Arabidopsis thaliana: one gene and its partners. The protein of the gene in region 1 interacts with the protein of each later gene in a pairwise test. Each region holds a gene or a part of one and is shown in the gene's direction. Other genes may lie near its edges.

Region 1 (5,699 bases):
CAGTAGGCACAACTTGTGCTGTGATTGGACAAGAACCTGAAGCTTGCCTATGCTCGTTGAACCATTCAGAAAACTTAGAAATCATCACATCAATCATTGGTAACAAGTGGTATTTTCTCGCTTTTTTAAACACACCATTAATGGACTCCGCAGAATTACTAGTGTCAATGTTATACTTGTCTCCTTTAAAATGGCACCTCGACCATTTCTCAAACCCTACTTTCACAAGAAAGTCAGCAGCTTTAGGCCATAAACTTGTAAAATGACCAAACTCTTTCTCGAACTCACTCTCAGTATATGCATGAGCACAATCCCTGAACTTGACAGCAGCTCCATCCTTGTCAATTGTCACACGATCTCTCATGTTTTGACACAAATGCCATATACAAGCTGCATGAAGCGCATTCGGGTACACCGTCTTGACAGCCTTCTTTATGCTTTGATGCCTATCACTAATAAAGACCAATCCGGGAACATCCGAATATACAGTTTTCAGCTTTTCTAAGAACCAAATCCAACTTACATCCTTCTCGCTATCAATGATTCCAAACGCAAGTGGATAATGATGATGATTAGGATCTTGTGCTGTTGCAATAACCAACATCCCACCATACACAGTTTTAAGATGAGTTGCATCCACAACTATCACTTTCCGCATTGCCCTAAAACCTTCAATGCAAGCGCCTAATGCAATGAAGAGGTACTTGAACTTTTTCTCTCCTTCCAACTCCACATAAGTTACTGTCCCTGGATTTACCTTCTCTAACATGTAAAGATAAGAAAATAACATCGTGTAGCTTCTTTCCGGAGTCCCTCGCACATCACTAACATGTAGCATTTTGCCTCTTAAGGCAGTGGAGTATGAACAATGCACCCCAAGTCTTCCTCTTACAATCGACATAATGTTTTTTGGAGTTGGGGTCTCTAAATTTCCGGGATAATCACAATGTAAAACCGATGCTATTAATCTTGGTGTGCCTCGCTGTATACTGTTGCTTGTAGTCTCAACACTCCGAGAGCATGTATGCATCTTTCTATGCACTCTAACACTCCAAAAATGAGATTTTTTAGTTCTCGCAACTCTTAGATACCAAGTACACCCTTTAGAAGCTTGGCGGCATCGTAGCATAAGTCTCAACGGGTCTGACTTAATAGTATAGACTCCAAAAACTTCTTTCTTTGCAGCTCTGTTAACCAATTCCCACACAGCCTCCCTTGAACAAAATTCTTGACCAATTTCAATACCCGTACCATCATCCCATTCTATAACCTGCGGAGTAACTTCTACACTTCGTGGAATATCGTGAATATCATCATAATCAATCCTATCATCCTCATCTTGTTCCTCAACAGAATTCACCGGCCTTTCCATCGGCCTTTCGATAGCCACGATCTCCGTACCTACTACATTCTCACAATCATTCACATCATTATCATATCCATCATGCACCATCTCACATACTTCATTTAAAACATCATCCTCTATTACATTTACACCAACTGAACTTCGACGCTCCGGTACAGAAATTTCCTCTCTCCTCTCAACTCCTATACCATTTAATTCCTCCACATGCAAAACAGGAATCCGACTCTCTTCATCAGATTCTGTTAAAAATATGAAGACATCCTCATCATTTACAATATATGTCTCTCTCCTAACTTTAGACAGATTGTAACTCAGTTTCAACTTGACAGAAGCTTCATCAATCGCAACCTTCTTCATGATCTTGTCAACTAACATCGAATAGCTAATCTTCTCCAAACTACTCGTCTTAAACGATATAACATATAGTGAATTTTTACCAATCCACTCATTCACTTCAGAATAGTATCCTCCAAAGTCAAAATGTACCTTAGTGTGGATCTTCTTCTTCATCGCTCCTGAAAATACAACCAGTTCAACTCCAATCAAACATTTTAATAGTTATACCACATGTACTCTTATCATACGTTGAAATCAATCTCTCGTCGCACTCGTCTCTACTGAACCTAATTCGTTACCTTTCAATTGATTTCCAATGTTAATACATACCTATTCGTTAAACTAATTGGTTAATCTAAACTTTGCAAACACAAACCCCCCAAATCTTTAATATGAAATCTCGGAATTCAAATTCAACTCACATTCAACCTACATTCCTTTGCTCATCACCTCAAATAACGTTTCGGCAACCTCTAATCGATTACTCTTTACTTTGCAAACCAATCATCAAACTATCAAATTGAATCGAGCTGGGAATTATATAGAATTCAAAATCCCAATCTAAAATCACAATGCACCAATGTCAAAGGAAATATGAGAAGAAACTGACCTAATTCGTGGCTTTTACGCCGGATTTCAAGTCGGCGGCATGAGGAAATCGATGGTGGCCGACGAAGAAGATGAACGTCGACCAAAGAAGAAGAACACGACGACGAAGAGGAGAATCTCCGAACTCGATTTTCTTTATTTAGCTTTTGAATTTCTTTTTCATTTTTTTAATCAACTCATTAAGGGTACAACTGGTATATCACATTTTCGGTGGCATTCAGATTAACTTATGGCAGTCCAGATCAGTTTTTTCAAAAAAGTGGCATAAGTGATAAAAGTCCCCCCCTGCGGTTTGGTTTCTTGTCCGCTCCAAAACTTGTGAGGGCATTTTAGTCATTACAACATGGGAACTGGATTTTTAAACTGGTGAATTCGTTAGCGTTTATGTGAATAATCATCCATCATCAGGAAAGATCCGAAGAAAAGCGACGCCGTTTTAAAGGAGATGGATAAACAACCGGCGACCAGTTGGAGTATCCATACCCGGCCGGAGATAATCGCCAAGTACGAGATCTTCGAGCGAGTCGGATCCGGAGCTTACGCCGACGTTTACAGAGCTCGCCGTCTCTCCGACGGTCTAATCGTCGCGCTCAAGGAGATTTTCGATTACCAATCTGCGTTCCGGGAGATTGACGCGCTCACCATCCTCAATGGATCTCCTAATGTAGTTGTTATGCACGAATACTTCTGGCGTGAGGAAGAGAACGCTGTGCTTGTGCTTGAGTTTCTTAGGTCGGATCTCGCTGCGGTGATCCGAGATGGTAAGAGGAAGAAGAAGGTAGAAGGAGGGGATGGATTCTCGGTTGGGGAGATTAAGAGATGGATGATTCAGATTTTAACCGGTGTTGATGCTTGTCATCGGAATTTGATTGTACATAGAGATTTGAAGCCTGGGAATATGTTGATTTCTGATGATGGAGTTCTTAAGCTTGCTGATTTTGGTCAGGTGAGATTATGATTGTTACTGATTGTGTTAGTTATTTCATTGTTTGATGCACAAATATGAGAAACCTCTGAATGAAAAATGCTTGGTTTGCTTGAAATTTGGAAGAGTTAGTGTAATCAAGTGGCTAGACCTTATCATTTAGTGTAATCTATGAGTTTCTAAATGTGTGTTGGCTTCTTGGTTCATATACAGGCTAGGATACTCATGGAGCATGATATTGTAGCTTCAGATGAAAACCAACAAGCTTACAAACTGGAAGACAAAGATGGAGAAACCAGCGAACCACCAGAAGTTATTCCTGATTATGAGAACTCACCTAGGCAAGGGTCTGATGGTCAGGAACGGGAAGCGATGAGTAAAGACGAGTACTTCCGACAGGTGGAAGAGCTCAAGGCTAAACAGGTTGTTAGAGATGATACTGATAAGGACTCGAATGTGCATGATGGAGACATATCTTGCCTTGCAACGTGCACTGTTAGTGAAATGGATGATGATCTCGGTAGGAACTCGTTTTCTTACGATGCTGACGAAGCAGTGGATGATACACAGGGTTTGATGACATCTTGTGTGGGAACCCGATGGTTTAGGCCACCAGAACTGCTCTATGGATCTACGATGTATGGGTTAGAGGTCGATCTATGGTCGCTTGGTTGTGTGTTTGCAGAACTCTTGTCTCTTGAGCCTTTGTTCCCAGGAATTTCAGATATTGATCAGATCAGCAGAGTGACCAATGTGCTGGGAAATTTAAATGAAGAGGTCTGGCCTGGTTGTGTTGATCTTCCAGACTACAAGTCAATCTCATTTGCTAAAGTAGAATCTCCTCTTGGTATTGAAGGATGCCTTCCCAACCATTCAGGGGATGTGATATCGCTGCTCAAGAAGCTTATCTGTTATGATCCAGCTAGTAGAGCTACTACTATGGAGATGCTGAATGACAAATATTTAAGTGAAGAGCCTCTTCCAGTTCCAGTTTCAGAGCTCTATGTGCCTCCGACAATGAGTGGACCAGATGAGGATTCTCCGAGAAAGTGGAATGATTACAGAGAAATGGATTCAGATTCAGATTTTGATGGCTTTGGACCCATGAATGTAAAGCCTACCAGTAGTGGATTTACAATAGAATTCCCCTGACCTTGGCATTTAAGGTACGCAGTCAAAAGCTCTGGCTCGCTTAAACACATAAATCAGTCTCTTCTCTCTCTCTCTTTCTTCTTCAAAGAGAATGGGTATATACCAAAACCTGACATGTGTTTCTTTAGGTCTTGATTGATGCAACACTCTTTGTTGTTTGAAGATCTTGTTACAGAATACCGCTTAGAAAATTGTTAACTTTTCGTTAGGACATTGTTTAGGTATCAATGGCGGCAAAAACTTTTGAAATTCGTTTGCTCATTGATCTCACAACTTTTTTTTGCGCTTTGTTTCTCTCATCGATCTCAGTTTTATGTGTTTATCTCTCCTTGGCAGAGTCCATGGTTGAGCATCTTGATCATCCCGACTTCCCCTGAATTCGCCTACTTTGTCAAAAATGTGTTGTGTGTGTGTGTGTGTTGTTCCTCTCTCTCTGCCTCCCTCGTATGAAAATGGTAACATTTACAATTGGAAAGTCGGTGTTAGCCTTTAGCTATTAGCTGAAGAGCTAGTTTTCTTGTTGCCCAGGCCATTCTTTACCCTATTTTTCATCTGAAGTAACAATGAAACAAAATCTATATATACTCGAGTTTTGCTTTCTAGGATCTGTATTTCTTAATTGTTTCTATATTTTGATCAATTTTGAACTTTTCATATCAAGTTATCAACATGTGTAGTAGCAACCCTTCAATAATGAGACCATGGAATAAAAGCCTATCCTATATGTCATCCAGTTTTTGCTAAGATAAATTATTTTCAGTTACCCAAATTACATAATCAAAACTGATATCATAAACAACAAAAATAGCACACACAAAAATCATAACTGAATCTGATTCTTCCAGAAATGTGAACTGTTGTTTACTATAAAAAGAAGAAAACCAGAACCACAATACATTTGACTCCATGAATCAGTCATACTAGTCCAACATACTAAATATAAAACTTAAGGGGCAATATTGAAAATTAGACAAAAGTTGATAGACCAAAAGATAAATTAATAACAGTTACCAGTATCTATCGCCAAGTCTCCCCTAGGGTTTTTTTTCTCTGAAACGGACATCGAGAAATTCCAGGAGTGAGTTTTGACAATCGGAGAGAAATGGGGTCGACAGAAAAAGAGCAGACGACGCAACATCACCCGCCTCACATCAGCAGTCTCGTCGTACGTCCCTCCGGAAGCAACGACAGAGAAGACGGCCGCAACGCCGCCGGAGACTATGAGCCCGGAGAAGTCTCTCGTGACCGGCCTTCGTTTAATCGCTCGGATCGGTATAAGGGTGACAATGGTGGTTCGTATCTCTTCTAAAC
Region 2 (5,570 bases), on another chromosome or scaffold:
AGTATACATCGGCCTACGAATTTAATTAACTAATCCAGCTTTGTTGACTATCTAAGTGTATTATAAATTCTAAAACAATCGAATCAAAGAGTTTGAGGATAACTACGAGGACAACATATTTTTTACTTTAAAAAAAAAAAATGCATTTTGAGTCAGTTTTATGAGTATCATATTAGCTTGTTGATGTATTTCACCATGTCAGTTTTTAATTTATGAAGGCGAGTAATGATTGTGTAAAAACAATTTTGGGCAAACATAGGAAAAATATAAAAAACATATTAAATTTCCAAAATTAAATAAATAGTCTATTACTCTACTAGATTTCAGATGTTAAGAAAGAAAAAGCTACTGGAATAAATACGCATACCATATGATACGGTAACATTATTTTGTTTATTGTATGTTCAGTTCCTCAAGGGACACTTGAACATTATGAATAATATATTTACTGCAATAGATATAATTGTTTATGTGATATAAACGAAAGTTGACAAAAAAAGAAGACTAATTAAAGAGTAGAATTAGTGAACCAAAAAAAAGAGAAGAAAGAATCAAACATGACTTTAAAAACTCAATAATTGAGATCTGAGAAGACATTGAAGATGACCCCAAAAAGATATTGGGAGTTGCCACCTCTCATCTCCCAAAACAACGACAGATATACAAACAGCAAACAAACATTTAAATAGATCACACTATTTCTTTTTTTTGTAATGACAAAACATATATTTATATATTCTGACAACACATAGAAACATCAAAGTAAACAAATCAAATTTGAAGTTATATTGTTTCAAAATCTTATGATAGTGCATAGCTATGAATAGCATGAGGAATTGATTAGTCCATACCGGTCTGATTAAGGTATACGAGAAGGAAGGTATACATAAAGGTTAAACAAAAAAAGAGGTGAAGAAGAGAAACATGGCTAGTGAAACTCTAAACGGTTGGAAATGATGATGAAGCAATGAGTAAGAGAATGACTCTCCGCAATCAAGCAGCGTAGGAACTAGGAACAGCTTTGGTTCTCATGGCCATGCTCCAAACTTTCTTATCAACTCGAACTAGTTAAAACTACAAACAAAATAATTTAATTTAATCTTCATATGGAGAGAAAAAAAACAATCATGGAGAACAAGTGGCAAGTACCAAGTGGTTGCAATTATCATAAACATATCCTTTTTCAAACTTTAAAGCTTTTAATCGGTTAACAACTTGAACAAACAGTTATGCTGAAATTTATCATATAGTTTTCAGTACTATACGAGTACGATCATCGTATAAAGAAGAAAAAGAAAAAGGATCAAGCAACTATGCATATATTCTTTCGATCTAGTGAAAGTGCAACGCAACCTTCTCACACGTTGCAGGCTTAAAGCACTAACGTGTAAAACTATAAGCATCTTAGAAAAGAAATAAAAAGTATATGAGAATAGTGAGTTTTTTTTTTTAATAGTTACAAGTTGATGATACGGACCATGTCTTATATATAAGACGAAAAAATCATAAACTTTATAAGCTAGCGATAATGTTTTCAATAACTTAAATGCATACGTACCAAACATTTTTTCAAGATTCAGTGAACTTAATATTATTATTTTTTAAACAATTGGATCGAATACAAACACAACTGTCAACATATGTAATAGAGACAGCCAAATTTTCATTATTTATTTGGTAACGTTATCGATTATCAAAGAGTTTAATACGTGATCGATTTTAGACATATAATTAGCCCAACGGGCTTAAAATTACAAAGAGTTACAAAAGGCCCATTTAAATCCCCCGCCAAAGTTGAAAAACGACACCGTAGCGGTTGGGTTCGAACACAGAGAGTGCGTGTGTTTTGTTTTTGTTGAGGCTTTTGATGGGCTATGGAGAATTCTGTGTTTGTTTGTTGTTACAGTTTGTTTGTTTGTTTATAGCGGGAACTCTCACCCAAAGTAATTTCATCTCCGATTTTTTTTTTTTGGTTGTTGTTCGCATCTCTGTGTAATAAAAAGAGTAAAACCAAAACCCTAGAAAAAAAATCTCCATCTTTTTTTATTCCGCCATTGGAAGATCGATCACTGGTTCGTTCTTTGATCTTTTGAAACGGATTCGAGCTTTAGCCTTTATTTCTCTGAACTAGGGTTTTCTTCACCATCGTTAGATCTAATCCAACTGGTTGATGATTCCCATTTCATAAATTTTGTTTAGCTTTTGTTAAAAAATTGAAATTGGAGCTGTCAACAATTTAGGGTTTTTTAGATTGTGTCTATTGATTCATCGGTTTTAGTCAACGATGGATTTGAGACATGAACAACTAATTGATTTGATTTCGTGTAGCTAACTTTGTTAATTGGTAAATTGTGTAGAGAAGGATGAGTATGGAGATGGAGTTGTTTGTCACTCCAGAGAAGCAGAGGCAACATCCTTCAGTGAGCGTTGAGAAAACTCCAGTGAGAAGGAAATTGATTGTTGATGATGATTCTGAAATTGGGTCAGTGTTAATTATTCTTCTTACTCACAAAGTCTCTGGTTTTTTTACTTGGAGCTAAAATGTCTGTATTGAATTTGTGTTTAAAAGATCAGAGAAGAAAGGGCAATCAAGAACTTCTGGAGGCGGGCTTCGTCAATTCAGTGTTATGGGTCAGTGATATATCTCTCTTAGCTCAAACATGCCTGAAGTGAAAGTATTGTTGTTTTGCTGATTTTGATTTAACTTCACACAGTTTGTCAGAAGTTGGAAGCCAAGAAGATAACTACTTACAAGGAGGTATTACTCTCTTTGTTCCATTAAGGAATTGGTGATGTAATCAATGAGTTTTCAGTTTAAGACGCATTAGAATTGATCTTTATATGAACAAGTATTCACTTCAAGAAGCAATCCTCTAAGTTAGTTGTTGAGCATTGTCTCAAATTCTTCTTCTAATCAGGAGTCTTGCCCTTATATAGAGGCATTGTATCAGAAAATGTGAAAATCTACGTTTGAGACTGTGGCTCTTGTGATTCCAGGTTGCAGACGAAATTATTTCAGATTTTGCCACAATTAAGCAAAACGCAGAGAAGCCTTTGAATGAAAATGAGGTATAGCGAGATGGAAAGCTCATATCATCTGTCTTGAGTTATTTGGAAAAAAAAAAAGCTATAACAACATTCTCTTATGTTCAATCAGTACAATGAGAAGAACATAAGGCGGAGAGTCTACGATGCGCTCAATGTGTTCATGGCGTTGGATATTATTGCAAGGGATAAAAAGGAAATCCGGTGGAAAGGACTTCCTATTACCTGCAAAAAGGATGTGGAAGAAGTCAAGGTTTAGCTTCCAAGCTTTTCCTTTCAGTTATCTCATCTATGTAATTGCTCTCTCTCTTCGTCTTCTCTACTAATCTCTCTACCTCTATTTGCAGATGGATCGTAATAAAGTTATGAGCAGTGTGCAAAAGAAGGCTGCTTTTCTTAAAGAGTTGAGAGAAAAGGTGATCTTCTTTCTGTTTGATGGAAAATTTAAATACAAGACTCTCTTAGAATTTGAGATCTTGTTATGCATGTCAATAGATGACAAAAGTTATTGATATTGCAGGTTTTCTAGAATCCATAGATACGTCGTGTATTGAATCATTTTATGTTGTCTTAATGAAATGTTAAACCGTCTTTCTACGTTTTGCTTATAATGTTACTCAAATGTTGTTATCATCAGGTCTCAAGTCTTGAGAGTCTTATGTCGAGAAATCAAGAGATGGTTGTGAAGACTCAAGGCCCAGCAGAAGGATTTACCTTACCATTCATTCTACTTGAGGTACTTCAAAAATCTCTTTCTCGTCCGTAGTTTCTATTTCATGTTTTTCGATATCCTAATCTATTTCCATCTCTATAGACAAACCCTCACGCAGTAGTCGAAATCGAGATTTCTGAAGATATGCAACTTGTACACCTCGACTTCAATAGGTAAAAATAAACAACATTTCTTCTCAAAATCAAAATCAGTTCTGCTATCTCTTAAATCGGAATTGAAATCTTCGTAAATTTTGTTGTGAGCAGCACACCTTTCTCGGTCCATGATGATGCTTACATTTTGAAACTGATGCAAGAACAGAAGCAAGAACAGAACAGAGTATCTTCTTCTTCATCTACACATCACCAATCTCAACATAGCTCCGCTCATTCTTCATCCAGTTCTTGCATTGCTTCTGGAACCTCAGGCCCGGTTTGCTGGAACTCGGGATCCATTGATACTCGCTGACCGAGCTTCTATTCCCAAATTCTTCAAGAAGAAGAAGTAATGATCTAATTGGTATACTAAAAAATTATACATCTGGTTTAGTGTTCAATTGAGAGAGACTGTAAAATCAATTCATAGGCCAACAAATGTTTGTTTATCCAATTTTCCTTTTTATTCGAACTTGATGCGATATTTCAACGGAAACAGAAACTATTGTTTTAAACCAAAACTAACCGTGTTGAATCTATTGGCTATTTTCCTTCTGTTTGATTGGTCTAACAAATTTAGTCTCCGGTTAGGTTGGTTTACCGAAGCTAGTTAGATTCAATTTACGCGCTTAAATGGCGCGTGTGCTAGGAAAGTTCAAAATTTGCAATTCCCATGCAAAAATAATGTTTTTTGTCTGGAAAAGGAAAAAAAGAGACATCGCGGCGGTTCGAGGGAAAGAAAAGCGAAATTGGTTGGGGACACTTCGGAAGAATGTTGGACTGTTTTTCAATTGCCGTCAAAATAAATACTATATACTATTCTTTTCATCAACTTAATCTACTCATTCTCAATACATTTTAAATCAATATCATCTAATATTATTTAGTAATTAGTGTTGGCCCATTTTAGTCCAATCTATTAGTTACTTGTTTAGTTAAAGTTGAGGTATATAGACGTACTAAAATTCAAGCACAACCAATTTCTCTTCTGTATAATTAGATTTGTAGCTGATATAGTCCACAAAAGCAGTAGATATCATATCAGCCCTAATTTTCTTATAGAACAACTAAGATATATCACAATTGCAGTTTTCTCTTGAATACCACTAAGTACTAACGTCACCTAGATCCAATCCTAACGTTTATCATCTTTTATTTTATTTTTCGATTTTTTGCATGCTAATTAAAACGTTTCTAAATATCTTGACGTACATCAATGTTTTCTGATTTTTACTGACTTTAAAGTTTAAACCATACAACCAGTCAAGCTAAGTGCTTTTTTCTTTTATTTTCTAAAACTGTGTATATGTATAATTTGCACACATAGTACAGAAGTAGCAGTATTGCCAGAAAGAGAGAATCAGAAAGAAACTTATGGGTTAAGCAATCGGACACACTCACTCTCCTCCACCTTCCCAAAACCCTAAGCAAATATGTATATAATATATAAAACAAAAAGAGCCTCGCAATAACACTGTGGACACACTCAATTCTTATTTTATTCATCTATATATATAATTAATATGATATTCAAACATATTCTATATATATATATATATGTGTATATGTGTGGGTATGTATATAAATGAATAAAGGTTCTTCCTTTACCTTTGCCTTCTCTCTCTATCTTTCGCTAAGCTCTCATCTCCTCTTCTTTC
Region 3 (6,243 bases), on another chromosome or scaffold:
AAAAACAAGCTCTCAGTAAGTAATTGCCATAAACGTTTACAGAATAGTCTTTAAACAGGACGAACAATTCCAATTAAGTTTCACTCATTTATTTACTTTTGTATATCAGTTGCATACCCTCATATCTCTTGTATCATAGAACATAACTGTGACTGGACATCAACAAAATTGTGAATCAGAGGCTCAGTCCTATAAGTTTGTAATAACGTCCATATATTGCATTTATTTGAAGGCAGCCTACTGGCCGAGGCTAAAAGAACACTCAAAAGCATTTTGGAGCCAACTTTTAAAAAGTTCATTCCATCACCCTATTCTGATAAGATATAAAAGCTCTAGCTAAATAGAAAATAGGAGATAGAGAAACAGAACATACCAGATAAAGCGCATAGTAACGCAAGAACAGTGATTTCTTGCTCACTTGGTCACGAAGCATATGGGAGGCCCGTCTATACTCTCGACAATCAAAATAGGACTTTGCTAAAAGGTAAATGTCACCATCAATCGCTTCATCTTCTTCCGGGAGAGGAGTAGCTGCTTGAGAGAAGCCAACGGAAGGTAACGGTGTTGAAATAGATTCATTGGTGCTGAACCTTCTCCGGATGCTAGAGCTTCCTCGCTGAAACCTCGTATTCGCAGGTGTAAAATTAGACGGGTCTTGCTCTATCCCCACAAGCTGCTCTCCTGCCCTGCAATGATGAAAGCAAAGGAGATATCAAATATGGAACTGACTAATAGTTCACCACCATTGAACTACAATACGAGTACTAAAAACTGAAACTTTAACTCATAATTCACAAATTAGTGTCGAGCTCAAACATATCGAAAGATTGAACCGGAGATCAGAAGTTCCCATCGAAAGAACACATTTTTTCAATTAGTGTCGAGCTCAAACATATCATAACACAAAACCCACATGTCGAATCATCTGAATTGGAATGTATCCAACACCAAATTCGCAACAAAAGTGAATTCGAATCAACGAATCTGCTTAACCAAATTTGTTTACAATTAGCCCAGGATACAAAAAAATTAGTAAAACCCATAAAGGATAGTGAAAAAATCGATTTTTAATCGAACCAGAGCAGTAGCGAGCTAGAGATTGCAACAATGGGAGAGGTTGAATAAGATTAGGGTTTTGAGAAAACGAACCACTTTGCGGCGGAGTATAAACAGCGGTCGCTAAGCTGTCGAATAGCCGCACGTATTTCGTTTCGGCAACACTCTTTAGAGACCATAGCAGAAGCAGAAACTGAGAGTTTAACTTTAAGTATTCAAAAAAGAATCGAAGAATCTCTTCTTCGTCGTGGAGAGAGATTTCAGAAACATTTGCTCCCTCCATCTTAATTATTTTGAAATTTACAGAGAGATCGTGTGTATTGGGCCCATTGATTAACTTTTGGGTTTCAAAATAGGCCCATGAAACTAACATACACACACACACAAAAACTCTTTACACAACTAATTTTAATATCATATCAATTTTGTCACTTTGTATTAATTTCTGTTAGGTATCAATGAATTATTGAAAAAGTGTAAAAATAAAATAAGAATGCAATTTTTTTTTTTTTGTTTTGTCAACAACTTTAAATTAATTGGTTTAGCTCAAATGAGTAAGACCAAAGGTATGCAAAACTATTATAGAAAAAAAAATCTTAGTTGGACAAAATAACCTTTTGTTTTGGTCAATAGAAATTTTTAATGGTAAGACTATAATTTAGTCAAAGATAGACCCTGATTTTGCTTATGCAAGTAGTTAAACACTATCATGAATCTACCATTTTAAGGGCATTACTCTTTACAAGATTACAAATCAAAAGATTTAATCTTTCCAAAACCAAACAAACCATACCAAACCAAAAACAAATTCAGACCAAATCACTTTTAAATCCTACAAAACCAAAATCCCCTTACAACTTTACTTTTTGAGTTCAAGTAAAAAGATAGATATCCAAAATAGATCTTGTTACTATAATATTGATTGAAAATGTATTATTTTGGTTAATGTAATCTAATTTTGGAAAAGAAAAATGAAAAAGTTGAACAGAATCCTGAAAATATTGTAAGAAATTTTCTAAACCGAAAAAACAAAAAGACAAAAACCAAAAAATTGCGATCTGAACCGAGCACAAAACCGTAAAGGTTTCAGCTTTACCAAAATTTAGAGGAGTGTGTAAATGTTACGGAGAAGGAGGAGCCAAAAAATTCAAATTGGCGCTCAAGTATCTTGGGAAATTCCCCCTCTCTCTTTTTAGGAAATCCCTCCAAAATACAATATCAAATTCTCAATCGCAGACATCGTTTGCGTCAACCATGTCAGATCTATCGCCAGAAAGATTCAAACTTGCCGTTACTTCTCCTTCTTCCATACCGGAATCTTCTTCGGCTTTACAATTACACCATTCCTATAGTCGCAAACAGAAATCTCTCGGACTTCTTTGTACCAAGTTAGTGCCTTTTTACTAAACCCATTTTATTTATTTGTTGTTGAATTTGTTCTGATTAGTGTTCTTCGTAAACTCAGTTTCTTAGCTTTGTATAATCGAGAAGGGATTGAAATGGTTGGGCTTGATGATGCTGCCTCGAAATTAGGTATTGCCCACTTTGTGTTTGTGATTTTTATTTTCATTTCTGATTTTACATCTTAATTTGTTGATTGGGGTTTTTGGGGTTTATTTCAGGAGTGGAGAGACGAAGAATCTATGATATTGTTAATGTTCTGGAGAGTGTTGGGGTGAGACTTGTTTCTCCACTACTTTGTTTTTTTTCAGAATCCAGAAGTGTTATGTTTGCTTAATTCGAGTTTTGTCTAATTTAGGTTTTAACAAGAAGAGCAAAGAATCAGTATACGTGGAAAGGGTTTTCCGCAATTCCAGGAGCATTGAAGGAGCTACAAGTGAGTCTTTTCATTTGTTTTGTATTCGGATTCAATCCCATTCAATCCCAATTGTGAAGAAATGTAGCGATTTGATTTGCATATTCTCATAGGAAGTGTTCTTGATGTAGGAAGAGGGGGTTAAGGACACTTTTCATCGTTTCTATGTCAATGAGAATGTTAAAGTAAGTCATTTGGATTTGGTTTCTTTTGATATACTTGTGTCTTTAGTTTGTTGTCTTCATACTTCTAATGCTTAAAGTTTCATACTTTCAGGGATCTGATGATGAGGATGATGATGAAGAGTCTTCTCAGCCTCACTCTAGTAGCCAGACTGATAGTTCAAAACCTGGTTCTCTTCCCCAATCTTCAGATCCCTCCAAAATAGGTACTGTTTCATTTTGTGCGTGTAGTACTTATTGTGTTCGGGTTTAGTGCCATTGCAAAGTAGTTAAGTGATTTACCCTCTTGGTAACTCTATATGTGGGATATGAATTATGAGATGCAATGTAGATATCCTAACATTTTGTTGGTTGGTTATGTATGACAGATAACCGACGAGAGAAATCTTTAGGATTGCTTACTCAGAACTTTATCAAACTCTTTATTTGCTCTGAAGTAAGTGAGAAGTTCAAAGATTCGTTTTTTGAACTAAAGAGTTATTCACTAAGTTACTAAAGATTTGTTTTTTATGTGTTCAACTGTTTAGGCTATTAGGATCATCTCCCTTGATGACGCTGCAAAATTACTGCTTGGTGATGCCCACAATACATCAATAATGCGAAGTAATTATCTTCGTCTTGTGACCTGAAAAGTCTTTTCTTTTATGTTAACATCCTCGGTTGAGACAAATCGATCTGTGTTTGTTGACACATTGATTACTTTTATGCAGCTAAAGTGAGGCGGCTTTATGATATAGCAAATGTCTTGTCGTCAATGAATCTCATAGAGAAGGTAAGTCAAAGTTATCAATAGCTACAACAGTTGTGAACCATCTATGATTTCAAGCTGTGATTTAAGTCTTACTAGTTTCTGTATTCTCTGGTGGCAGACTCACACCTTAGATTCTAGGAAACCAGCTTTCAAGTGGTTAGGGTACAATGGTGAGCCTACTTTCACACTGAGCAGCGATTTGTTGCAATTGGAGTCAAGAAAAAGAGCTTTCGGAACTGATATTACAAACGTCAATGTTAAGAGAAGCAAATCATCATCTTCGTCCCAAGAAAACGCTACAGAGAGAAGGCTAAAGATGAAAAAGCACTCAACACCAGAGAGTTCTTATAACAAAAGCTTTGATGTTCATGAATCAAGACATGGATCAAGAGGAGGTTACCATTTTGGACCTTTTGCACCAGGCACTGGTACATATCCAACTGCTGGTTTAGAGGATAACTCTAGGAGAGCTTTTGATGTTGAGAATCTGGATTCTGATTACCGTCCCTCTTACCAAAACCAAGGTGCATATATTTTATTCACATCCATTTGATATCAAACTTGTCAAAATATTGCTATGAAATTAACTCTGTTTCTGAACAAATTTCAGTTTTGAAAGACCTCTTTTCCCATTACATGGATGCTTGGAAGACATGGTTCAGCGAAGTCACCCAGGAGAATCCATTACCTAATACATCACAACACCGTTAGATCTTCTTTTTCTTCTTCTTCTTCTTCTTCTTCTTCTTCTTCTTCTTCTTCTCTTACCTGTGAACATCAATCATCATTCGTGTAGAGAGCTTCAAGAGTCATTTCTTTTGATCAATGTGGTTTAGTTTCTCCACACAATTGTAACTGCAAGAATCCGACATTAATTCACAGATCGCATACCCTCTTTGCTTTCTGAAGTTTACTGTAGGCTGTAACTTTTGTATGTTACATATAAGAGCATTCATCTTTCGCCAGTTTTTTGCTACTTTTGTATGGCATGTTGTTTTGAGAAAAACAAAAAGAAATATCATCTCATCTTATTTTTCATTTTTTTCAAGAATTTAAAGTAGCAATACCATTTCTCTTACAGAAGGGTCTCTTGCTTTATTGGTATATTCTCATGAGTACATGTTTTAAGGAAATATCAGGAACTAGTGTTTGTCTCAGAGCTTGGAAGGAGGTTTGTACCATCCCCATGGTTCATCAGAGATATACTGAGTCACCTGCTTCACACTCAAGTAGTTCTCAAGTCCCCTGCGACGAAGAAAATATGTTTCAATTCAAATTTTGTTGGTAATCTATTACGGTTTAAGTTACTATGGACACAATTCCATCTAGTTGGAGAGTGTCTTTTTCTAATGGTTTGATAATCTTAATACTTATAGCTAACGAAAGAGACTAACCATTCTCCCAATTCACGGCCAAATCCACTGCGTTTGGTTCCACCCCATGGAGCTTGGCAGAAGCATGGCTGAGAGCAGTTGACCCACACTATTCCCGCCTGGAAAGCCTGAAACACACAATGATTACGATTCATAAAACTTTAGAGATTAAGTTCAATCATGAGGTTATTGATTGTTATTGTTGATAGTAAAAGTTAGATACACACCTTACTAACACGATCACACCGCTCCAGATCATTTGATAATACTGCGCCTGCTAATCCATATCTGCAAATACAAATAAAGTCAGGCATATGATCTAACACGTCATCAGTGGAGTTCTACTTCAAGATAAGAAGAGAAATCTACACTCACTGAGAGTCATTTGCAAGCTGAATTGCCTCATCCTCGGTGGAGAATGTTTTCACACACAGAGCAGGACCAAAGACTTCCTCTCTCCAGATTTCCATTGAAGTAGTCACATTTGAAACAATCGCAGGTTCAACAAAGTATCCCTTCTTTAAATGCTGCAGAACATAAATAAAATATTGTAAGTGCTACGGGCTCTAGATAGTATTTGGCACATACATAGAAGATTAGTCAATATAATGTACCTCAGGACGAACTCCTCCACAAAGAACAGTTGCACCTTCATTCCTAGCGTTTGAGACAAACTTTAGAACTCTCTCGTACTGCACAGGAGGATAAATATGTAAGACTTGACTAGAAATCTTTCGTCATTAACCCAAATTGATAGATAAGAGGGTTTTGGAGGATTGAGGTGTTTATTCTTGAGAATGTCAATTCTGTTTAGCAATTTAACCTGTCCTTTACTGACAACAGGACCAAGCCTACAGCCTTCTTCAAAAGGATCTGAAATCTTAATGTTCTTGGTCCACTTTACCAGCTTGTCCAAAAACTCGTCAGCAATCCTTTCCTGACATTTCACCAGATTCTTTCATGAAAACAACAGTACACAAGAAGTATAGTAAAGCTTCGCTATCCTACTTTTATCAAGGGTTCCCAAGGTCCTACGACAACTGATACTTATCAATCTATCCGAAT
Region 4 (6,681 bases), on another chromosome or scaffold:
AAAGTCAATAGCGCAAGCAATGGTGGATGCAGCTATAAAGGTATTTATAATATATCTAGAGACTTCAGAGTCTTCTAAATACAGAGAAGCCAAATTCATACAACTCTAACATCTTTTGTTTAAATCGTTGTCAACCGTTTTAGGCTGCATCGTCGGGGAAGAACAATGAAGACTCAGAGAATATGGTTCACCAAGCTTTAAGCTCCATTGGCGAACATCAGCCATTAGACAACTCTATAGTGCCTGGTATCAAGCATCAAGAGTATACCAATGGCAGCTTGGATCATCATTCCTTAAACACAGCAGAGCCGATGAGTAACGGTTTCATCTCACAGGAAGGATCAGGAAAAAACAAAACACCAATGCCTTCAGAGCTTATCACCTCTTGTGTTGCATCTTGGCTCATGATGCAGGTAAAGGAAATAATTTTGTCTTGGACTAACGAAAGTGTAATCTAAATCAAGAATACCAAAGTTTTCACTTGATGCGGTTTTGATTAGAACTCTTTGTGTGTTATTTACCTGCAGATGATCTCAAAGAAGCAGTACCCACCAGCAGATGTGGCTCAGCTAATGGATACAGTAGTGAATGACTTGCAGCCACGGTGTCCACAGAATATGCCGATATACAGAGAAATTCAAACTTGTATGGGATTGATCAAGACTCAAATAATGGCTCTTGTAAGAACGTCATGAAACATTTGTGTCCTTTGTAATTAACCTGACATCGAAGATAACACTTGGAGATCAGATTTAATTGTTTGGATTGTAGAGGTTAGTTTAGTTTATAGTTAGTTAATAATTTGAACAGCTCCAAAGGCTGTTGATAATTAGTTACCATTGATTCTGTAACTTTTTTTTGTCATCATTCATTGTAACTTTGGTTACCTTTTACTTTGGAGCTGTTTTTTTTTTCTTTCTTTCTCAGTGATTATTTTCTTGGGTCATTTTGGATCCTAATGGCTGAAATAATTTATTCCCACCTTAATACAAAATCTCAAATATATACTATTCCTTAACTAAAATTCTAGAACAATGCCAAATGGATATGTTTGAAATACCTTTAATAACAACTAGGATTTAACCTGTGGTGTACCACGGACAAATGTTTTATTCATATATAATAATATTAAATTTTACGGTTTTTAATTTAGTATTTAAGTTTTATAATTTTATATTAATGTTATAACTAAAACAAATGGTGATGATAAAATAATAAAATAAATATTTAACATGTGCTATATCAATCCAAACTCGTCCCACTATATTTCATATCAATCCAAACCCGTCCCGCTATATTTCTCATCTCATGATATTTTTTTATAAGTTTAAATAATAATAATGTTTTATAAAGTTAAAATATATCTATAATATTTAAAAATAATAATTATTTTTTACTTAAGTTGGAAAGATTTTTGGAAACGTTTGTTGAGCGCAATATAAAGTATTTAAATTTTCAAATCTGAATAATTAATACCAATTATATATCTTGAAAGATCTTTGGCAACTATTGTTGAATATAATATCTTGTATTTAATTATCGACAGGAAATATTTAATGTCAATGGCATGACATTGTAAATACAAGTACAAAATTTATTTGCTAAAATGGCTGCAAAAATGTATATGTAGATTTACTTCTAATTTTAATGTTTCAAAGGACAAAACTAGGCATGACCATAAAATCCGAAGCCCGAAAAACCTAGTTCGCTTTGGTTCGAGTGGATCTAAAGTGTTTATTTTGGGGTTTTGGTTTGGTTCGTGTAGGATCTGAAACCTGAACAGATACCTGAAATATCGAAACTCAAACGGATACATGTAACTCGAAATAATACGTATACATAATTTGTCGGTAAATTCAGGTTCAATATCAGGTTTCAATTAAATTTGAGAACCAGCCCGAACCCGAATAGACCTCAACCGATATTTTCAGTTCCTAAATGTATTTTCAATCTCTTTACCAAAGTAACCCAAAAACCCAATCTAAACAGACCCGAAAATCCGAATGTCCAGACCTAACTAAAATCGTGAGTCAAACTCAAAAAATGATTGATTAACACTATATTATACTTTTACTTAGATTCTATAAATTGGACACATGTATGGGTGTTATTAAGGGTTGGAAACATAAATTTAAGCCATGACCTTATTTTTGGTTGGAAAATTCTTGTTCTTTTTTTTGTTAGTAAAGGGCTGTTAATAAGGGTTTTAATGGGTTAGCGAACGACACCGTTTATAATAAATATGTTTGCTAAACGACATCGTTTGACCTTAGGGTTTATTGTTTAACATGAAAGAACGTCGTTTCACCAACGTTTCTTCTTCCTCGCAAGTCTCAAAGCCAGGAACGATCTCGCCGTATGAGCAACTTCCGACATTAACACTGTATTGCTCTGCCGTACTCTCCTCTTTTTCCCTTCATACTCGTCTTCACATCTGAATTCCGACAAGATATTGCGTCTGCTCTCCTCTCTTCCCTCATTCTCGTCTTCTCATTACCAAAAACATCTTCTTCTCGTAGCTAACTCAATCCAATTCCAATCTCCATTCAAATCGAGCACCAGATAATTTTTTCTCCTAAATTCTAATATAAGCCCTAAAATTCAAAATTGAAATATCTATAGAATCTCCTTCCGATTCAGACGGATAATCGCCATCAACAGCGTGTGAATTCGATCAAAAATCTGAACTTTCCACAAAGAAATTCGAAAGCTCAGATTTTTCGATTTCGAAAATTTTGAAAACTCAGTTAATGGCGGATTTTCAGACATCAACACAACGGGCCAAGTGGATTTTCACTCCCCAGAAACTGGTAATCCCCTTCTCCTTCTGATCACTACAATGCGGCTTTATAATTATATTTTGTTCATCTTTGGATTTTCTTTGCTTTGATTGCTTCATAGAGAGTCGGATTAATCGAGCATTTGGAACTCTTTGTTACTTAGTTATGTGTGTTGTTGTTGTTATTATCTTACTTGTTGTGTAGAGATATTGGTATTGCAACTAAGCTGTAATGTTGTAATTGTAGGCAGAGAGATATAAAGCTGCTAACCAGAGGGCAGTGCAAATGCTGGAGAAGGTTTGTTAGAATAATTGTTGATATGGAGCTTTAGTCCTGTATTCATGTTTAGATTTTAACTTATTGTTATTCATAGTGTGGAACAACTCAAGTTGAAGTAGATGCTAGTGGATCACTAACATATCCTAAAGATAAAGTTGGTTCAGGAGATCAAGGTAAAAATTTTGGTTCCTTCAATATCTACTTCATACGTATCATAGTTTTGTTTGTCGAAGTTTAAATAATGTTACTTTTTGCTTTGTTACTCTCAGCTGATAAGAAGCTTAAGCCTTTGAGTGCTGATGAAGAAAGGTTCATGAGAGCATTTTATGAGGCAAAGGTCCAAGAAGTGTGCAGTGCCTTTGCATTTCCTCACAAGATTCAGGTGCATTTCTACTCGTCGAGATAGAAGTTTATGATGAAGTTAAAAATAAAATACCTGATTTTTGTTTGCTCTCTGAATTTATGTTTCTTCCTTCTAATATTTTGCAGGCAACAGCCCTCCAATACTTTAAGAGATTTTATCTGCAATGGTCTGTTATGCAACATCATCCAAAAGAGATAATGTATAGTTCTTTTAAATCCTCAAAATGGTCAAAAGCTTTGCTTTTTTCAAGAGAATAGTTTTGAAATTGTTTACCAAATGGAGCTAAGCATTTTGTATTTCTGAGCTCTGAGAGGCTTTTTAAGTCAGTCATAAATGGTCCATTGTTGTAATTTGGACTAATTGTTACCTTTCATTGAACAGGTTAACCTGTGTGTATGCAGCTTGTAAAATAGAGGAGAATCATGTATCTGCTGAGGAAATTGGGAAAGGGATTAACCAAGATCACCGAATAATTCTCAAGTACGAGATGGCTGTTCTTCAGGTATGATATGAGTCAATTAATTTGTACCAACTTCCCTATGTTTATTTTTCCCTGGTGTTCTTTTCTCTCTCTATTCTTTTGTTCATATTATATTAACTCTATGTGCAGAGTTTGGAATTTGATCTGATTGTTTATGCACCGTATCGTGCAATCGAAGGTTTTGTCAACAACATGGAGGTAAATCAGTCCTGTCTAAATTTCTTAGTAGGTTTTCTTATTTCAACTGGCTTTTCTCTGTTTACATCTTATAGTGATGAGACTCTTTTTCAGTTTATTGGCAATTGTTTTGTTGCAAACAAAATTCTGAATGTTAACTTAACGCCAAGAACTTGGTGAACCATAATAGGATATACCAAGATTTTCAATACTTTTTTCGGTGTGTTATTTTTCATCCTTGTTGAACTTCACGCTATCTTCAAAAGTAACCTCATCTTTTCATCCTATAGGAATTTCTTCAAGCTAGAGATGATGAAATCCAAAAACTAGAGGTAGATCTATCTTCAGATATTTCCTTTATCTTCACTAGATTTTAAGCATGTGGTAACTGAATGTGGGATCAAAATGTAAATTTTAGTGTAAGTTTGTGATCATAGCTGTAAGTCTATTTACTTAACAGGCTTTATTGAAATATTATTTTCTCATACTGGCATAACTTTTCAAGTATTCTGCAGAGTTTGCTCAAAGGGGCGACAGCAGAAGCCGATAAAGTTATGCTCACAGATGCTCCACTCCTCTTTCCTCCTGGCCAGGTGGGCATGCTAGTTTATTTTGTCTCCCTAGCCTCTTATTATCAGATTAAAGATACTGAATAATATCCATCAAAGAATCTGGTTAAACTCATTGTTTGGGATATTTCAGTAAAGCTTTAAATATGCTACTCAAGACATAAATTTAGGATGAAAGTTGGTGCTTTGTTTTCTCTTTGACTGATATTTAAGTGAAATTAATGAATGTTTATGATATAGTAGTATAGCTTATCGATATATACTCACCTTGTTCCTTCTTTCAGGATTTTTCGTTTTTCTTTAGCGTATATGTAACAAAAGAAGTATCACAAATTGTTGTACTGTCTCTCAACTCTTGAACGTGTGCCCTTGTAGTTGGCATTGGCGTCGTTACGTATTGCAAATGGGGTTCTTGGAGTGATTGACTTTGATAGGTTATTTCTCTTATTCTATATCCATCCCGATTATTTACCCTTTTAATCTTTCCATGATATTAATCTCGTGGTCTTGAATTTCTGTATATGCAAAGCTTTTTACTGGTTGTATTTTCAACTAAACTGCATTTGGTGCAGGTACCTAGAGAACATTGTTTCTCAACCGAACTCTGAGCACACGACTTCAGAGCTTACAAAGTTACTTGATAACATCGAATATTTGGTATTTACTAACTTCCATAATTATCTTAACAATGAAACTTGCATATCTAAAAGGAAGTTTTACTAGATGCTCTCTCTTATCTCAGGTAAAGAACTACAAGTGCCCAAGTGAAAAGGACATGAAGCATATCAACCGGAAGCTAAAATCTTGTCTAGGACATAGTTCTTCACATGACGAGTACACTAACAACCTCTCTTCTACTAATTCTTTTAACCACTATATATATTTCATAAGCTTTGCTTCTGCAATTGACTCCCTTCTCTATTTATCTTCATCAGGAGTAAGAAACGGGAGAAGAGATCAAAACACAAGTCCCATAGGAGCTCCAATGATACACCAAACGGGGCACCGCCACCCATAGGTTGAGTTTCTCGTACTGCCATTAGCAATTCTTCCTTTGCACTTTGGTTTAGTTTTAATCTTATTGAATGAGAAATTCGTCTTTTATAGTTTCTTCCCCGTTGTTGTTCTTACTAGTAAATTTGAGCAGATTATGTATAACAATGATATTGGCCATAAGTTTTGTTTATTCTGAAGATGTTAATGAATTTATAACAAAACTTCCATTTATTTTAAGTTTTGGTGTACATAACAATCGTCAAAAATGGTTTGTTTGCGATAATGATCAACTTTTTACATGATCAAAAGTTTTTCCAGACATTTTGATACTTTCTAGTTACTACCACATCTGTTCTTACACAGAAACAAATGGATATGACTAGTGTAGCGGTAACTATCAAATCCTAATAATAACAATGAAAATTTGTATTAAATAACCAAAAACCATCGAAAATAAAATTTGGATTGTGAATGAAACTTGTAAAGATGCTTGATTGGTTGTGCTAAATGTCTTTTACAGCCATAATATATTTGTTAAAGACTAAATTGTTGCCAATTATGTTATAGTTTTTTTCTTTAACTTAGAGCCCCAAAAAAAATCTTTTTGTTTTGACTGTAAATCTTTAATTTTCTACATCCTATTTTGTGTTGTAGATTTTTTTTTTTTTGTAGATTTTTTTTTTTTTTTCTCTCCTCTAACTTTTTGTCACGATTATTTTCAACTAATAATCTAAAATGTAGTTATATGAATAACAGATAAAGTATTTTATACATTTAGACAAATAATTTATAAATTTATATAGATTCCATTTACCTAGATGTGCAGAATTCTTTTTGTGTTTTTATTATAAAATTGTTATTAAATAATTTATATATATTCCATCTACCTAGATGTGCATAATTCAATTTGTGTTTTTATTTTATAATTGCTATTAAATAATTTTAGTAATTATGATATACAATTTTCTCATTTTGAAAAAAGGTAATTTATAAATATAAAATTCAAATATTTCTTAATCATAATTTTTAGTTACA

What was found.
Region 2: the proteins of CAK1AT (region 1) and DPA interact in a two-hybrid assay, tested with the Arabidopsis thaliana proteins (one large-scale study listed by BioGRID).
Region 3: the proteins of CAK1AT (region 1) and DEL1 interact in a two-hybrid assay, tested with the Arabidopsis thaliana proteins (one large-scale study listed by BioGRID).
Region 4: the proteins of CAK1AT (region 1) and CYCH;1 interact in a two-hybrid assay, tested with the Arabidopsis thaliana proteins (one large-scale study listed by BioGRID).

The regions. Positions count from the first base shown.
Region 1 is NC_003075.7:14,285,715-14,291,413, forward strand, and holds CAK1AT (CDK-activating kinase 1AT), read left to right. Parts: upstream 1-2,682; 5' UTR 2,683-2,756; coding exon 2,757-3,257; intron 3,258-3,449; coding exon 3,450-4,388; 3' UTR 4,389-4,402; exon of another isoform or gene 4,403-4,724; 3' UTR 4,725-5,199; downstream 5,200-5,699. Other genes in the region: AT4G28990 (RNA-binding protein-like protein), read left to right, coding at 5,491-5,680. UniProt on the Arabidopsis thaliana protein: CDK-activating kinase that modulates CDKD-2 and CDKD-3 activities by phosphorylation of the T-loop. Activates CDKD-2 C-terminal domain (CTD) kinase activity. Activates CDKA-1 probably by phosphorylation.
Region 2 is NC_003076.8:541,217-546,786, reverse strand, and holds DPA (Transcription factor DP), read left to right. Parts: upstream 1-1,831; 5' UTR 1,832-2,072; exon of another isoform or gene 2,073-2,357; 5' UTR 2,358-2,363; coding exon 2,364-2,482; intron 2,483-2,569; coding exon 2,570-2,631; intron 2,632-2,714; coding exon 2,715-2,758; intron 2,759-2,997; coding exon 2,998-3,069; intron 3,070-3,157; coding exon 3,158-3,298; intron 3,299-3,392; coding exon 3,393-3,461; intron 3,462-3,682; coding exon 3,683-3,781; intron 3,782-3,859; coding exon 3,860-3,930; intron 3,931-4,023; coding exon 4,024-4,225; 3' UTR 4,226-4,469; downstream 4,470-5,570. UniProt on the Arabidopsis thaliana protein: Involved in the regulation of the G1/S transition. Increases the DNA binding and the transactivation activities of E2F proteins after heterodimerization. The complex DPA/E2FA promotes cell division and acts as a regulator of the endocycle.
Region 3 is NC_003074.8:17,781,331-17,787,573, forward strand, and holds DEL1 (DP-E2F-like 1), read left to right. Parts: upstream 1-2,000; 5' UTR 2,001-2,310; coding exon 2,311-2,444; intron 2,445-2,521; coding exon 2,522-2,589; intron 2,590-2,678; coding exon 2,679-2,731; intron 2,732-2,815; coding exon 2,816-2,893; intron 2,894-3,003; coding exon 3,004-3,057; intron 3,058-3,148; coding exon 3,149-3,260; intron 3,261-3,422; coding exon 3,423-3,490; intron 3,491-3,581; coding exon 3,582-3,657; intron 3,658-3,764; coding exon 3,765-3,826; intron 3,827-3,923; coding exon 3,924-4,329; coding exon of another isoform or gene 4,330-4,358; exon of another isoform or gene 4,359-4,392; intron 4,393-4,415; coding exon 4,416-4,516; 3' UTR 4,517-4,830; downstream 4,831-6,243. Other genes in the region: APC8 (anaphase-promoting complex subunit 8), read right to left, coding at 374-686, 1,150-1,235; ALDH10A9 (aldehyde dehydrogenase 10A9), read right to left, coding at 4,960-5,050, 5,200-5,306, 5,406-5,466, 5,554-5,705, 5,793-5,870, 6,002-6,115. UniProt on the Arabidopsis thaliana protein: Inhibitor of E2F-dependent activation of gene expression. Binds specifically the E2 recognition site without interacting with DP proteins and prevents transcription activation by E2F/DP heterodimers.
Region 4 is NC_003076.8:9,769,012-9,775,692, forward strand, and holds CYCH;1 (cyclin H;1), read left to right. Parts: upstream 1-2,291; 5' UTR 2,292-2,750; coding exon 2,751-2,810; intron 2,811-3,026; coding exon 3,027-3,077; intron 3,078-3,153; coding exon 3,154-3,232; intron 3,233-3,328; coding exon 3,329-3,441; intron 3,442-3,548; coding exon 3,549-3,622; intron 3,623-3,804; coding exon 3,805-3,925; intron 3,926-4,033; coding exon 4,034-4,102; intron 4,103-4,371; coding exon 4,372-4,413; intron 4,414-4,596; coding exon 4,597-4,674; intron 4,675-5,025; coding exon 5,026-5,084; intron 5,085-5,222; coding exon 5,223-5,307; coding exon of another isoform or gene 5,308-5,373; exon of another isoform or gene 5,374-5,392; coding exon 5,393-5,668; coding exon of another isoform or gene 5,669-5,673; 3' UTR 5,674-5,864; downstream 5,865-6,681. Other genes in the region: ALY1 (protein ALWAYS EARLY 1), read left to right, coding at 1-40, 144-413, 528-695. UniProt on the Arabidopsis thaliana protein: Associates with CDK-2 and CDK-3 and activates the CDK kinases.